Arabidopsis thaliana: one gene and its partner. The protein of the gene in region 1 interacts with the protein of each later gene in a pairwise test. Each region holds a gene or a part of one and is shown on either strand. Other genes may lie near its edges. The genes, in order: AT3G61320 and DGK7.

The links.
Region 2: the proteins of AT3G61320 (region 1) and DGK7 interact in a protein complementation assay, tested with the Arabidopsis thaliana proteins (one large-scale study listed by BioGRID).

Annotation. Positions count from the first base shown.
Region 1 is NC_003074.8:22,690,781-22,698,389, reverse strand, and holds AT3G61320 (Bestrophin-like protein), read right to left. Parts: upstream 4,583-7,609; 5' UTR 4,572-4,582; coding exon 3,708-4,571; intron 3,643-3,707; coding exon 3,475-3,642; coding exon of another isoform or gene 3,454-3,474; exon of another isoform or gene 3,389-3,453; coding exon 3,182-3,388; coding exon of another isoform or gene 3,137-3,181; exon of another isoform or gene 3,093-3,136; coding exon 2,916-3,092; 3' UTR 2,636-2,915; downstream 1-2,635. Other genes in the region: AT3G61310 (AT hook motif DNA-binding family protein), read left to right, coding at 5,945-6,401, 6,717-6,784, 6,886-7,017, 7,103-7,264, 7,346-7,591. UniProt on the Arabidopsis thaliana protein: Voltage-dependent chloride (Cl) channel critical for proton motive force (PMF) partitioning across the thylakoid membrane by anion influx into the lumen during illumination, thus being required for photoprotection under fluctuating light conditions.
Region 2 is NC_003075.7:14,836,443-14,845,334, reverse strand, and holds DGK7 (diacylglycerol kinase 7), read left to right. Parts: upstream 1-4,187; 5' UTR 4,188-4,393; coding exon 4,394-4,762; intron 4,763-5,129; coding exon 5,130-5,252; intron 5,253-5,328; coding exon 5,329-5,719; intron 5,720-5,825; coding exon 5,826-5,908; intron 5,909-6,010; coding exon 6,011-6,081; intron 6,082-6,179; coding exon 6,180-6,257; coding exon of another isoform or gene 6,258-6,267; exon of another isoform or gene 6,268-6,340; coding exon 6,341-6,428; intron 6,429-6,515; coding exon 6,516-6,632; intron 6,633-6,711; coding exon 6,712-6,870; 3' UTR 6,871-7,163; downstream 7,164-8,892. Other genes in the region: AT4G30330 (Small nuclear ribonucleoprotein family protein), read left to right, coding at 7,416-7,457, 7,549-7,575, 7,691-7,753, 8,226-8,304, 8,399-8,444, 8,553-8,562.

The DNA of each region.
Region 1 (7,609 bases):
GATTTTTCAAGAAAAACATGGGTATATTTTTTGAAAGAAAAATCCGAGGTGTTCGAAATTTTCAAAAAGTTTAAAGCCCATGTTGAGAAGGAGAGTGGTCTTGTGATCAAAACCATGAGATCCGACCGTGGAGGAGAATTTACATCCAAGGAGTTTCTTAAGTATTGTGAAGACAACGGCATTCGAAGACAATTAACGGTGCCAAGATCCCCTCAACAAAATGGTGTAGTGGAAAGAAAGAATAGAACAATTCTTGAGATGGCAAGGAGCATGCTCAAAAGTAAGAGACTACCAAAAGAGTTGTGGGCGGAAGCGGTCGCGTGTGCGGTTTATCTATTAAATCGATCTCCAACAAAAAGTGTCTCCGGAAAAACACCACAAGAAGCTTGGAGCGGAAGAAAGCCCGGTGTTTCTCATTTAAGAGTCTTTGGAAGTATTGCTCATGCTCATGTACCGGATGAGAAGCGGAGCAAACTAGATGACAAAAGTGAGAAGTATATCTTCATTGGTTATGATAACAACTCCAAAGGCTACAAGCTCTATAATCCCGATACGAAGAAGACAATTATTAGTCGAAATATAGTGTTCGATGAAGAAGGAGAATGGGATTGGAACTCAAATGAAGAAGATTATAACTTCTTTCCACATTTTGAAGAAGATGAGCCGGAGCCAACAAGAGAGGAGCCACCAAGTGAAGAGCCTACTACACCACCAACTTCACCAACAAGTTCTCAAATAGAAGAAAGTTCGAGTGAAAGGACTCCGCGTTTTAGAAGTATACAAGAGCTCTATGAGGTAACCGAAAATCAAGAAAACCTTACCTTATTTTGTTTATTTGCGGAGTGCGAACCCATGGATTTCCAAAAAGCCATTGAAAAGAAGACTTGGAGAAATGCCATGGATGAAGAGATCAAATCAATACAAAAGAATGACACATGGGAGTTAACTTCACTTCCAAATGGACACAAGGCAATTGGCGTGAAGTGGGTGTATAAAGCAAAGAAAAACTCTAAAGGAGAAGTGGAAAGATACAAAGCAAGATTGGTTGCAAAAGGTTATAGTCAAAGAGTCGGAATTGACTATGACGAGGTATTTGCTCCCGTTGCTCGTCTAGAAACGGTTAGACTAATCATCTCACTAGCGGCTCAAAACAAGTGGAAGATACATCAAATGGATGTCAAGTCGGCCTTCTTAAATGGAGATCTTGAAGAAGAAGTTTACATTGAGCAACCACAAGGCTACATAGTCAAAGGTGAAGAAGACAAAGTCTTGAGGCTAAAAAAGGTGCTTTATGGATTAAAACAAGCCCCAAGAGCTTGGAATACTCGAATTGACAAGTATTTCAAGGAGAAAGATTTCATCAAGTGTCCATATGAGCATGCACTCTATATCAAAATTCAAAAAGAAGATATATTGATCGCATGCTTATATGTAGATGACTTGATATTCACGGGTAACAATCCAAGCATATTCGAAGAATTCAAGAAAGAGATGACGAAGGAGTTCGAGATGACGGACATTGGATTGATGTCTTACTATCTCGGAATTGAAGTAAAACAAGAAGACAATGGAATATTCATAACTCAAGAAGGCTATGCTAAGGAGGTACTTAAGAAGTTCAAGATAGATGACTCAAATCCCGTTTGTACACCAATGGAATGCGGAATCAAACTATCAAAGAAAGAAGAAGGGGAAGGAGTGGATCCAACAACCTTTAAGAGCTTGGTTGGAAGCTTGAGATACTTAACATGCACAAGGCCCGATATTTTATATGCGGTCGGAGTTGTTAGTCGTTACATGGAGCATCCAACAACAACTCATTTCAAAGCGGCAAAAAGGATTCTTCGCTATATCAAAGGTACTGTAAACTTTGGCTTACATTATTCAACTACTAGTGATTACAAGCTTGTTGGATATAGCGATAGCGATTGGGGTGGAGACGTAGATGACCGAAAGAGTACAAGTGGTTTTGTGTTTTACATTGGAGACACGGCTTTCACATGGATGTCGAAGAAACAACCAATTGTCACTCTATCCACTTGTGAAGCGGAGTATGTAGCGGCTACGTCATGTGTATGCCATGCTATTTGGTTAAGAAACCTCTTGAAGGAGTTAAGCTTACCACAAGAGGAACCAACGAAGATCTTTGTGGACAACAAGTCGGCAATAGCTTTGGCGAAGAACCCGGTCTTCCATGATCGAAGTAAACACATTGACACACGCTATCACTACATTAGAGAGTGTGTTAGCAAGAAGGACGTGCAATTGGAGTATGTGAAGACACATGATCAAGTAGCCGATTTTTTTACCAAGCCTCTCAAGCGTGAAAACTTTATCAAGATGAGGAGTTTGCTTGGAGTAGCAAAATCAAGTTTAAGAGGGGGTGTTGAAAGTTAAACTTGATTTTGAATCAAGTTTAATTATTGGATCAATTATCCAATAATTAATTATGGCCAAATCCAAGTTCTAGAGTTTTCTCTAGAAATATCATCATTTCCACCTCCTTAAAAGATTCTAGAAATTTTCTAGAATCATCTTCCACCTCCTTAAACATAAAAATCTAGATACTCTAATAGAATAATCTAGATAATTTGAATAATGTAATCTAGATCTTATGTAAGAACTCTCTAGACTTAGGATTAAAATATTTTAGATATTTTGTAGTTTGGAGGCTATAAATACCTCCTCCCCCTCTCAAATGTTGCAATGTTGTGAAGTTGTATTCAAGTTTAAAGCAAAGTAATAAAAGTTCTATTTCCTAAAAAACTCTCTCAAAACACTTAAACACTTTCTCCATTACCTCTAAAAGAATTTTACTCTAACATACGATACGTATATATCAAAGCTAACCTAAGCCATCACATGTTCTTAGCTCCCTCGGGAAGACAACCTACATCACTCACACCAACCGGTAATCAAGATCTATGGCGACCATTTGATGAGTGCTTGAATTCATGGAGCTTTATCTTTGCAATGATGCGGTTACGTATGACTTTCTCAGATTTAACAGCTTCTTGGATGTTACTATGCACAAGATCGCAAAGCTCATCTAAGGCCAACATAGGAAATGGTTCTTCTATAAGAACACCCACCTGCAGAGTTTCCAATCCAAAAAGAAGGTTTAATGGTTAAGGATTCAAGCAAAAGAGGGTAAGTATGGAGGAGGAGGAGGACAAAGTACTTCTTCTATGCAGAACAGAGAGGCAGCACTAATGAAAGTAGCAGGAACAACAATCCAATGGCATTCATCCCAGAGAATGATTGGGAGAGTTAGATGCCAAAAGACTAAAAACCTCGAGGTTAAGCGTGTGTAAGAGAGAGGAATCGGAATGCCCATGAGTTGTTCACAAACTCCAATTCCTTCATGTAAATGCAGCATCTTTGATTCCTGCAATGACGCAAAGAACATATATTGGTGTCAAGTGTTCATAGCAAAGAATTTTAATAGAGAGTTCAAGGATTCAAGAATGCTACCAACAAATCTCTCTTTGCATCGTCTAGTTTTAGCAACTGAATGCTCTGAGAAATGAACTCGATTACACAACGCGGACGATGCTTTGCTTGAAGAATCAGAGATAAGTCATCTGCTTCTATCAAGTTCCGGAGATCTCTTGCTATATCTGAACCATAAATCACATGACACTGCAAATGAAATTAAAGCATCAGAAACCAACAATAGAGTCAAGCAAGAGATGAATATTTTTTACCTTAAGAGCAACAGGGAAAGCTGCAATGTAACGAAGAAGCAAATCTTTGATGATCAATTCATCACCGGAGCTATCAACGGAACAAATAACTTGCCTAGCTAAATCATTAGTTCCAGCAATAATCCCAACCCAAGCTTTCCTTCCTTCTTCATACCTAGAATACGAAGCCTCCGTACGAAAGACCAGAAGAAGAGCCAAAGCCGGAGCTGTGAGCTGATACGGCAACGACGAGGATCGAAGAATTGGAAAAATACCAGGAAGCCAATCCAAAGCCACGGCGGAGTTGTAGCTAGCGATCACAACCGCGACGCTTGTGAAGAAGAAAACAGGTGGAATCAGGGAGAGTATAACTCGTGAAGAAAAGCTCGAGAGTAGATGACGCACATGGCGAAGAGAGCTTCTATGTTCAACCCATTTCTCGTGTGTGTAGAGAGAGCGTTTCTGCTGCATCCCACGCTCTTTAATCTCGTCTGCCCAATCTGGAACAGCTCTGAGGAGATGGATAAGCTTATCGGTTAAGGTTTCGTGACCTGAATCGTTGGATTCAGGACCAGATGAGACACGGGGAGGTTTGAGATTGACGGATTTGCGGAATCCGGTGGAGAATATAGGAAATCGTGATTCGAGGAGTGATCGGTGAGTGAAATTGGAAGAAACTGATAGATTCATGGATTGATACATTGGCGGGAAAATAAGGGGTTTTAGGTTTAGGGTTTGATAGAGACGAAGATGAAGAAGAGAAATGGTGGTTGACACATGAGGCTGCGTAAGGGTAGCAAATCGGAGGACTTCGAGAGGTGAAAAAACAAGTGATAGGAAAAAGGTAGTTGAAACGGTTGTTCCAGGATTGTTTACGTTCCACATTCAAACGTCGTCGTTTTAGGACAACATTGGGCTTTGATATGTTAAATACTGGGCTTAATTATTCTAAACGACGTTCGTTCCACGACAACATTGGACTTGGATCTGTTAAATGTTATTTTGTTTGAATATACTGGGCCTAATTATCCCACCGACGATTCGACTTCGATGTGTTTTTGTTTGATGTGTTAGATACTGGGCCTAATTATTCCTATCCGGCCCATAGAAGATTATAGCAAACAATTAATGTTCTTGTTGATCTTCTTCACTTCACTTCACATGACATGAGTACTAAACGTTCAGATTCTGTATTGTTGATAAACTCTTGGGTCCTAATGATTATTGTTTGTAGAGAAAAATGAAGATTTAAAGTGAACAGAACAGAGACAAGAACAATATTTACTCCACAAAATGGGAATTTATATTCATGTTATATGTCTCTTAATGCCAATATATAATCATTAGTCTCAAGTATTTATGGTAAAATAGAGTCTAAAGATAGATTGGGGGATTCATAAATTTTGAAAGCTTATGATGAAGTGGAAGCCAGTGAGGAACAAAGAAAGTCTTGACTAGATCACATCACTATTCTCTCACTCTCGACATCAGAAGCGTGAGATTCACTCTCTCATTCCCAATGCTTCGTTTGATACACGCACCTAATCTATAGCGTTGAGAATGAGCCACACAAAGATGATGATGATGATGGATGGATGGATCCCTCCTACAAATTGCTAGATGCTAGAAAGAAGTCTATTAGAGAGATAGAGAGAGAGCTTATATCACAGTCAAAAGTCAGAGACTTCAAATTTAATTTCGAATTTTGAAATCCTGCCTCATCATCCCATTGTATTGTAATCCACAGTAAATGCTTGGAGAAAGGATCTTTTTTTGTTTGTTTCTGTTTTCCCTCTGTCACCCAGTAAAAGAAAAAAAGCAACATCACATACACTCTGAAGAAAGAAAGAGAGAGAACCCTAGAAAACTTTTTTTTTTCTTCACCATTGTTGATTGATGGATGAGAAAGCTTATTCACACTTCATTTCTTTGCTTTTGGTGAGAGAATGAAACAGAGAAGAAGAGATGAAGAAAATTAAAGTTCTTTCCTTTTCTCTTTTGGATCTAATTTCATCTTGAGATTTTCTCATAGCTTGATACTAAAGCTACATAAAAAACAATTAGGTGAAATGAAAGTTTGTGTGTTTTGATAAGTTTTCAGAGATTTTCGGTTGCATGTTGTTATCTTGCTCTTGAAGTCTATCGAACCCTTTTAGATTCTGATTTTGTTCTCTTCTTATCCCTCCTCCTATAAGTTAGCCATTTAGGGTCCCCATCGAATTTTACTAAGTTAAAGTCAGAGTCTTTTTGGTTAAGCTATGGATCGAAGAGACGCAATGGCGTTATCCGGGTCGGGTTCTTACTATATCCAAAGAGGAATCCCCGGTTCTGGTCCTCCTCCTCCTCAAACTCAACCAACGTTTCACGGATCACAAGGATTTCATCATTTCACCAATTCCATCTCTCCTTTTGGGTCAAACCCAAACCCAAATCCAAACCCTGGAGGTGTCTCTACTGGATTCGTGTCTCCTCCTTTACCCGTTGACTCTTCTCCGGCTGATTCGTCAGCGGCGGCGGCGGGAGCTTTGGTTGCTCCTCCTTCAGGTGACACGTCTGTGAAGCGGAAGAGAGGACGGCCTAGAAAATATGGACAAGATGGTGGTTCTGTTTCGTTGGCATTGTCTCCTTCTATCTCCAACGTTTCCCCGAACTCTAACAAACGTGGCCGTGGAAGACCTCCTGGCTCCGGCAAGAAGCAACGGCTATCTTCCATTGGTAATATCCCTAATCTCTAACTTATGAGTTTTATTTTCCGACAAGGACATTGGCTCTGAATATGGTGGGAAGTTTTGAGCTTAATTGATGATATAGTTTTTCAAATGAGGACATTGGTGGGAAGTTTATTATAAGCTAATTCGAACTGTTAAGGATTAATTAAAGCTGTGGAATTTTATAATGTCAAATTGTTGAATTCAATATTTATTCTTTTATTATTCCTTGGCCTTTCTCTTAAACTTTGTTATTGCTCTGTTTCTCCCTGATTACAATTAGCTGTGATTTTTCTGAAGACATTTGATTCTTTTTTGTAAGGTGAAATGATGCCTTCATCAACTGGGATGAGCTTCACACCGCATGTAATCGTAGTTTCCATTGGTGAAGTATGTTTCTTCTGTCTCCTCTTGAATAAATCTGTTCTTTTTTTTCTTTGTAATCTTGCCTCTAGTTCTTGAGATAACCATACTCTCGGTGTTGCTTTCAGGACATTGCTTCAAAGGTTATATCGTTCTCGCATCAAGGTCCACGAGCGATATGTGTCTTATCCGCAAGTGGTGCTGTCTCTACTGCAACTCTTCTTCAGCCAGCACCTTCTCATGGAACTATTATATACGAGGTTTTATTGAATCATCACTCACATTTTATTATCTTTTAGAAGACAAAAACATTACTTATTTTGGTGTATACTTTGAAACTTATAGGGTCTATTCGAGCTCATATCTCTCTCAACTTCTTATCTGAACACAACTGACAATGACTACCCAAACCGCACTGGAAGTCTAGCGGTCTCACTTGCTAGCCCCGATGGTCGTGTCATTGGTGGTGGAATTGGAGGTCCTCTAATAGCAGCAAGCCAAGTCCAGGTGAGCTTACGCTTGTTATCAAATTCCTTAGATGAATTTAGATTTCTTATGCTTAACTATGTGTGTTTGCCTCCTTAAAAGGTCATTGTTGGCAGCTTCATTTGGGCAATTCCGAAAGGGAAGATTAAAAAACGTGAAGAAACTTCTGAAGATGTCCAAGATACTGATGCTTTGGAAAACAACAACGATAACACAGCAGCAACGTCACCTCCTGTTCCTCAGCAAAGTCAGAACATTGTTCAGACTCCTGTAGGCATTTGGTCAACTGGTTCAAGGTCAATGGATATGCATCACCCCCATATGGACATTGATCTAATGCGTGGATGATTCATGTATATATAAGCA
Region 2 (8,892 bases), on another chromosome or scaffold:
AATTATTAAATAGTACTACCATAGTCATGATTTAGAAAAATACTTAATCATCTTGCAGTTCAAAAATAATACTAAATGTTTGCACTAACATTATCACTTACCTTAGACGAGTCATTTAGCTTTGTAATTTACATTTGTCGAATTAGATGAAATTTGTAGCACCAGTTACTTATTTTATTTTATGGTGTCTCTGATAAACTTTACATGTGTATATATCCAATCATATACAAACATTTGAAAACAACTAGTATATGAATGAGAGTTCTTCTGATTGTGTTCTCCAAACGCTTGGTTTGGTTATATCATAATATCCAATAAAAGAACATTCATCCTCAAGAAGCCAAAATTGCTCTAACCAATAGATGTCCAATCTTTGATCAAGATCATGCCAAATAACTCACTCTTGCTTTGAAGAGTGAACGCATCTGTGACTTGGAACTTATTGTTATTAAAATCCCACACATTAATTTTTCTTTTATGTACATGAGACAGTATATAAGATTAACTCAACTAACCTCGCTAGGTTAGCATAAATGAATGAGGAATTTACGAATAACCGTCATCTTCGTATTCAGATTTGGACTATATTCGATTGACCTATTGTTTTACATTGCAAACCGAATAATATGTACATGTGATCGGGTCTTTGGGTTCTCGGATCCAAAATAATGGTCTCCGAGAAAATGGAAATTGTCGTGTAGCTAGAGAAAGGTGAAAAATAGAAAAAAGCTGACGCAAAGAAGAGAATAGTTTTATTGTGAAGACCGATAAACAAAAAAAAGTGCTGGTTTAAAAAGATGTTAAAGAGTTTCAGCTTTCTGCATTTATTATAACTTCACGTACAACTCTTGTCGACCTTCTGTGTCTTTTAATGCCTATCATTTCTATTTACCATTTTGCCCTATATTTCTGTCTTTTGATAAGCAGAAAGTGAGCAAAAAATTTTGTAATATTTGAAAATAATTGAATAAATAAACAGAGTATAATTTTCTTTTCTTTTGACAGCAATACTAAAATATTTTATAGTGCTTACATATTAGTAAATAATATAATACTCAGATGTTTATGTATAAGTTTTCAATCTATAAATTTGTTCCGAATATAACATAAATTTTCATTTCATTTTATAAACAGAAATTAAAAGTTTGTCCTAGTTAACTATCTTATGCCATAGAATTTTGTGAACATAATTAGAGTGAGACAAACCGTAAAACTGATCACTCCAAACCGTTTCAAATAACTAAAAGCATAATTAAAACCAATAGTTTTTTTTCATATTCAAATTAAGTGTTGGTGTTTTACTAACTAATCATTAAGAAAATGGTAGTGTAGAAAAAAAAACAGCTAAGTACTTTTAAAGTCATCAAAAAGAAACTTGAGTTTTTTAAACTTCGCAAAACATTCTGTAGACGACTTTGTAATATTTTGCTAACAAAACAGCTAACATTTTTTTTCTAAGTTTATTAAATCTGTTGAATGTTTGAGTCATTTTCTTTTCTTTTACCATAATATTGTAGGCCAATAAAAGATGAGAGGTACCGACTAGTTGTGCAATCAATGCATTCATCATGAAAAAGTTGAATTCTCTTTGACGCGTTAGGGACTCCCCGAAAAGGTCTACCTTTTCCATTTTAAAGGAGCACAAATTTTTTAATGCGATTTCTAATTTCATAAGGTATATGATCATGTGAAGATGAAAAAAGCCTTCCTCAAAGGCTACTTATTAATTTGTGCAGAGAGACTATCATATGTATAGATTAGATAGCACAATTTAGTTCTTCCAAAGTCATCAAAAATAAACTTATGTAAGTTGACGTAAATAATACAACGATGATCATATTTCAATATTTCATATAAAAGGGCCTCTCGCTGTGGAAAAATATTTGATGCTTCAATGATCAGAGGCAAATCAAAATCTGTAATGAAGGATTTATTATAAAACTAAAACTATAATTTGTCATTAAGCTACAAAACCCATTCTTAAATCTCAACTAAACCCATTAAGTTCATTATTGGTAGGGCCGAATCACATTGATGGCTCGCTTTTCTTTCTTATGATAAATACAAATTCTTAGGTGTACTTTGAGTGATTCAAGTGTCACATGATGCCACACTTATTTCTTTCAAAACATCCTTAATTACAAACAATTTTATTTTATGATCAATAAATTTTAATGATATTCAGTCACAATAATCTTTGAAATTACATATATTCAAACTTGGTTATATGCATCCATGCATAATTGAATATTAGTATCATTTGAGTTCACGACTTTAATACCATCACTTCCAAACAGAGCGGCCCAACTCGAATCCATAAACCAACACACACAAAATAGACACAAATTGAGTCTATGGATTAAATGTCAACACTGATCCACTATAGTCTATATTTTTATAATTTTTATGGAAGAGTTTAGTCGAACTTCAGTGCGAAAGAAAGAAGGCTAAGCAACCTTAACAACTCACTTAAGATTTAGCCGTGAAACTAAAATTTGGCTAAGCCTCAAACCTGAATTACCCTTGTTTGGGTTCATATGCCGACTCATTACGTCCCACCGCTACTTCCAAAGGCACGAGTCCATGTGGGTCATAAAATGACGTGTACTTGTTTTTTTCTTACAGAGATGAAGAACTTAACTGATTTGATTCCGTTCAGAAACAACGGATTGAAAACATGTTGATTCCGATTCGTATAATGTCTAGATTCCTTTTCTTTAACTCGTAAATCCTTTCTTGGACGCGGTTTCGAGACTTTGACGTTGATAAAATGTGAATATGTGTACATGTCCACCTTTGCCTCTTACGTTGACGGTCGACAACTTTTTGCAAGTCTTCCAATTTCTTTCCATTTATGCAATTTTTCCCCTCAACCTATTTATATCTTCACTATATGCTAATCTACTCATTTTAAATACTTTTCATTAAAGATCAAATTTAAGATTAATCTGAAAGGTACCAAATTTTATTTATGATTGGAAAACGATGCCTAACCAATAACAAAAATGACTTTCATTAGCATTTTGATTTATTAAAATCCTGAAAATAATTAAGTTGGTCCTAGACACAAAACTAAAATATATCATTCCACCAACATCATCATCATATAATAGAAGTTTATAAATGTTTTATTTGAATTTTAGTTCAAGTTACTTGGTTTTAGAAAATGCGTAACCAATATAAAGACGGCTATAGTATGAAGCGATGTTGATGCGGAATTGATCTTTAGTTAAACAGCTCTTAACTTTTACAAGAATTTAAGTTATATCTCAATTAAAATTTGGTTTCGACAACCCCTGAATCGTTTGTTTGTTGTGGAACGAAAGGTTTGTGTGAATTGCTTTAGGCAGGTTACAGAGGAATTAACATATAATTCAGGTTTTTTTTATCTATTTAAACAGTTGAACAGTTTTAAGTTTTAACCATACATGAATATATTTTTATCTTGATTATTCAGTTACATTTGGATTGAATAGAGTCGGTTAATCCAAATTAGTCACCTTTTCATAAGATTGTTTATATTGAAGAACTAACTAACGTATGAGAATCAATGTTTAGACAGACTTGAGAGCATTTGTGAAAAATTTAGGTCCCCTGTATACCCATAAAACCCATAGGCTATAATGGGCTTAAAAATACAAGATAATTGTTGTATGGATCCTAAAATTCACCACCTCGGCCCATACGTGAGTTATGTAAATGAAAGTTGAAATAAAATAGTTATGTAACGCACCGGTTATTTAGGATGCAATAAATATATAGGCATATCTCCCTAACCAGAAAAGAAAAATGAATATTGGACAGCTTCACGATCTAATAACACACCACACCCAGTAGGGCAATATAGTCATAAATATGCGGCCCATATGTCACATCCTGACACAGTCCACTGCCTCATTTAATTGTCCCTTTTACCCTTTTTACAATCTTAACGTGACAAGTAAAGCATTTAATAGTCTCTCTTTCTGTAAACTTACATAGTTTTGCATTTACAAGTCAAATATCAAAATATGCAGGTATTATTAGGGGTTTTAATTAGGGTAACAAGTAAAAAAAACTTTAAATTTGTAGTCTTACGATAGAAAAAAAACTTCCTTCTCATTCGCCTTAAAAGATGGTCACATATAAATCAACGAGATTTAAAAGTAGTGGCAATTCTGTAAATTCGTAATACTAGTAAGGGCATTTTCATGTCGTTTTTTTAAAAAGTTGCAAAATCTACACGTTTAAATACGCACATCGAAGTACACCGATTTTGATTTGCTCTGTCTTCGAAAACTAATCTTAAAAAACAAAACACAGAACTGTCAATTTATTAGTCTTATTGAATTGTCTTCAAAGTTCGATCATTTTTTTACGTTTTATTTTAATTTGTTTCTCCAAGAATCTGATAATGGAGGAGACGCCGAGATCAGTCGGCGAAGCATCGACGACTAATTTCGTGGCGGCGAGACCGTCGGCGAAGACCGATGATGCAGTGACGATGAGAGGTTGTGGTTTTGCTAATCTTGCCTTGGTTGGTATAGACAAAGAAGAGCTTCGAGGGAGACTAGCGATGCCTGAGTATCTTCGTATAGCTATGAGAGATTGTATCAAGAGGAAAGATTCAACAGAGATTTCTGATCATTTGTTACTTCCTGGAGGCGCCGCCGCTGATATGGCTCCTCACGCGCCAATGGTTGTGTTTATTAACCCGAAAAGTGGTGGTCGTCATGGTCCTGTTCTTAAAGAGAGGCTTCAACAATTGATGACTGAAGAACAGGTCTGTTTTTTAAAAAACAAAAACTTTTTTTTTGTTTGCAACTTATGAAATGAGCTCACTTTACTTAACTTTTGAAATGAACTTGAGATCATATTTTTGTTTGAAGAAGATTTTAAATCTTGATTTGGGAGTTTACTTTCTTTTTGACTTCACTAGATTTGTGGTTAGATTGTGAATGGAAACACTCTGTTTTGGTTTAATGAGTATAACTATGAGCCTATGGCATTCTTATTGTTCTGACATCATCAAATGTTCTGTTTTTTTTTTCTCTGTAATTTTGTTTAGAAGAAGTTATAAACTGTTTTGTCTTAAAAAGACTGTGATTCCTCCTTAGTTAGTGAGCTCATGTTAATATTTGCAATGACAGGTATTTGATCTCACAGAAGTGAAGCCTCATGAATTTGTACGGTACGGTTTGGGGTGCTTGGACACATTGGCTGCTAAAGGAGATGAATGTGCAAGAGAATGCAGAGAAAAGATACGGATCATGGTGAGTATCTATTTCCAAAGTATTAGTTAGCAATTGGAATTAGATTTGCTAAGTTAGCGGCGATGATTGATGATAGGTAGCAGGCGGTGATGGTACCGTTGGTTGGGTTCTTGGATGTCTCGGTGAGCTTCATAAAGATGGTAAATCACATATTCCTCCTGTTGGAGTTATACCTCTTGGTACAGGAAATGACCTCTCCAGGAGTTTTAGTTGGGGTGGTTCATTCCCTTTTGCTTGGAGATCTGCTATGAAAAGAACATTACATCGAGCAACTTTAGGTTCCATTGCTCGATTAGATAGCTGGAAGATTGTAGTGTCGATGCCATCTGGAGAAGTCGTTGATCCTCCTTATTCTTTGAAGCCTACAATAGAGGAAACTGCACTTGATCAGGCTTTGGATGCTGATGGAGATGTACCTCCTAAAGCAAAGTCTTATGAAGGAGTGTTCTACAACTACTTCAGCATAGGTTTGGAATTTGGATACATGAAGTAACTTTATCTTTCATTGTTCTTAATAAATTTCTACAAAGTTAAACCTTTTGAAGTAATTTGGTATTTTCTTGTGTTGTTTAGGTATGGATGCTCAAGTTGCATATGGGTTCCACCATCTTCGCAATGAGAAACCGTATCTAGCTCAAGGCCCTGTTACAAATAAGGTTGCTATATATCAGAATCTTCATTCTTGTCTAAGTTTCATTAATTAGCTGTTTTTTTGGTTTGTAATGAGATTATGAATCACACTCGTTTCGGTTTTGCAGATTATCTATTCGAGTTACAGTTGTACTCAAGGTTGGTTTTGCACGCCTTGTGTCAACAATCCAGCTTTAAGGTTAGCATTTTCTGTGAAGAGAGTAAACCAAAAGCCTTTTCTTTACTCAATTCCTGTCTCTTGTTGTGTTGACATGTTGTGGTAAGATGAATTTGCAGGGGACTAAGAAACATTATGAAAATCCATATTAAAAAGGCAAATTGTTCCGAGTGGGAAGAGATCCATGTTCCTAAGAGGTTCATATAAAACTAATCTTATCTTTGATTAAAACTAAAAAAATGGCTTCACTTATAATCTCTCTGGTTTTGTTTTGGTGTAGCGTAAGATCTATTGTGGTGTTGAATCTTTATAACTATGGAAGTGGAAGACATCCATGGGGTAATCTCAGACCAAAATATTTAGAGAAGGTAATAATGTTTTATTCAGTACACTAATCTTAGGTTTTATTGCTTTCTCTACAAGCTTTAACAGAACGTGTTCGGGTTTTATAACAGAGAGGATTTGTGGAGGCGCATTGTGATGACGGACTGATAGAGATCTTCGGTTTAAAGCAAGGTTGGCATGCGTCATTTGTAATGGCTGAAATTATCTCAGCTAAGCACATTGCTCAGGTACAACAAAATACATCCAAAGTTTCTTTATAAGAATCGGTTTAACCTCGGTTTGATATTAAACCGTTTATCGTTTTAGGCGGCTGCGATTAGATTTGAACTAAGAGGAGGTGATTGGAAAAATGCATTCTTGCAAATGGATGGTGAACCATGGAAACAACCGATGAAGAGTGATTATTCGACTTTTGTAGAGATAAAAAAGGTTCCTTTTCAATCGTTAATGATCAATGGCGAATGATCGAGGAAACTCTTTTCAAGAAGTTGTAAAAGGATTAAAAAAGCATGATTCTTTATGTATTTCTGTTCCATCAATTAGTCAAAATAGTGATCTATGTTGAGCTTTTGCTACGGCTGTTGTTGTGCTAGTGAAGCATTTAACTTTGTGTATTTTATCAAAAAAAGATGGTTATTTATTCAATAGTCATTAATATACAATTAAGATATAAGCAATCATCTTCAGGTAGACCTTGAAATCTTGTAAACATGATTTTGCTGTCTTTAAACTCTGTTTCTTAAGTCGTTTTTCAGTGTTTTGGAGATAGTAGTAATGGGTCTAAAAAGTTAAATAATGTTTTTGTGGGGAGAAAAATGAAAATAGCAGATTTTCGAGGATGGGAAGAGTAAAACATATATTTGAGAAGTCGAAAAGTGTGAAATATTTGTTCTGTCTCGCGAGGAAGAGAGAAAAATCGAATTAGAAATTGCAAGTTTTAGGGTTTTAGAAAATCTATCTTCTTCACTGAGTTTTCCAGCTCCGAAGAACACTTGCAACTTCAGGCAATTATGGCGAGCACCAAAGTTCAGAGGATTATGACTCAACCCATTGTACATTCCTCGATTTCTGTTTACTAATTCGATCTTTTTTTTTTTTTATTGTTTCTGTTTAGCTCACTGTTCTTCTTACTTTTGATTTCAGAATCTGATTTTCAGATTTCTCCAAAGTGTAAGTTTTTCGATTACTCTGTTAATTTTCGTCACTTTTACTCTATTTGGGAACACCATTGAGTTTGTGAGAGGTGTGTACTTATATATATAGTGTGGTTCTTCTTATAATGTAGAAAGCTCGGATTCAGATTTGGCTTTTTGAGCAGAAAGATTTGAGGATTGAGGGACGAATTACTGTAAGTCATAATCCTGTTTCGAGCTTAGCACAAAATTTTGAACTTTCTTGCTTTGTTGATAGGTTAAACTAGAAAATTTGACATGCTTGTGTTAGTTAAGCTGTGTGATTCTAGCTACACTTTTAAAGTGAAGTGTAACATCTTGGAATTTTTCATAATGCTGTTTCTATTTGTTGTTCGAATTTTGATTGCTACGCTGATTTAGTTACCGTTGAGTTTATATACATTGTTTGATAGTAAGGGACCAATTGATAGCAATGAGTTCGGTTATTTCGGTTGGTGCGTATTATCTAGATTTAAGACTGAGATTGTATTGCTAGAATTTCTTTCTTGAGATAATAACAGAGTTTGTTCTTTTCTGTGAAGCTTAAGATTTATCAATGTCTTGGTTGTCTTAGATCTTTAACCACGAGTTGTTTAGTTGACGTTGAGTGTTTCATTGTTTCGTTATTTTAACATTTGCATTGTGCAGGGTTTTGATGAGTACATGAATTTGGTGCTGGATGAGGCAGAGGAAGTGAGCATCAAGAAGAAAACCAGAAAACCACTTGGTGAGTTACTTGCTACTCTCCTACAAGACTCCTTTCACATTTCTTATATTGGTTTTGTTTTTGGTGCTAACTCTCGCAAATACTGGATTTTCAGGTCGGATTTTGCTTAAAGGAGACAACATAACTCTCATGATGAACGCGTAAGTATCATTATTATCCTCTTCAGATCCTTTCTTTCCCATATCTCTCAATTCGTCTCTCCATGAATGTTGAGATACAAACTCAATCCCTTATATATCTTATTACAGGGGCAAGTGATGTCTGTTGCAGTGCAAGGAATGATCTAATTATATGGAATGGTTTAAGAGTTCCTGCTCCCCTCTCGTTTCTCTGTTGGGTAAAAGTTGTCTTTTTGCTGTTTACTTCTGTCAACTTGAGAAATTTCAACTTTGCAAACAAAATTATGAGAAAATAGTTTCATCAAAAAAGACCTCAAATCCAAGAAGATTGTAGAAATGTCTAATATTTGTCTATTTGGTTAGATTACGATCCAAAATCTGATATTAATATGATTCGTTGGTCTTATTAGTCAAAAGAAGGCCCTCGCATAAATCACACATAAGAAAATGTTGGGAGAAACATACGTTG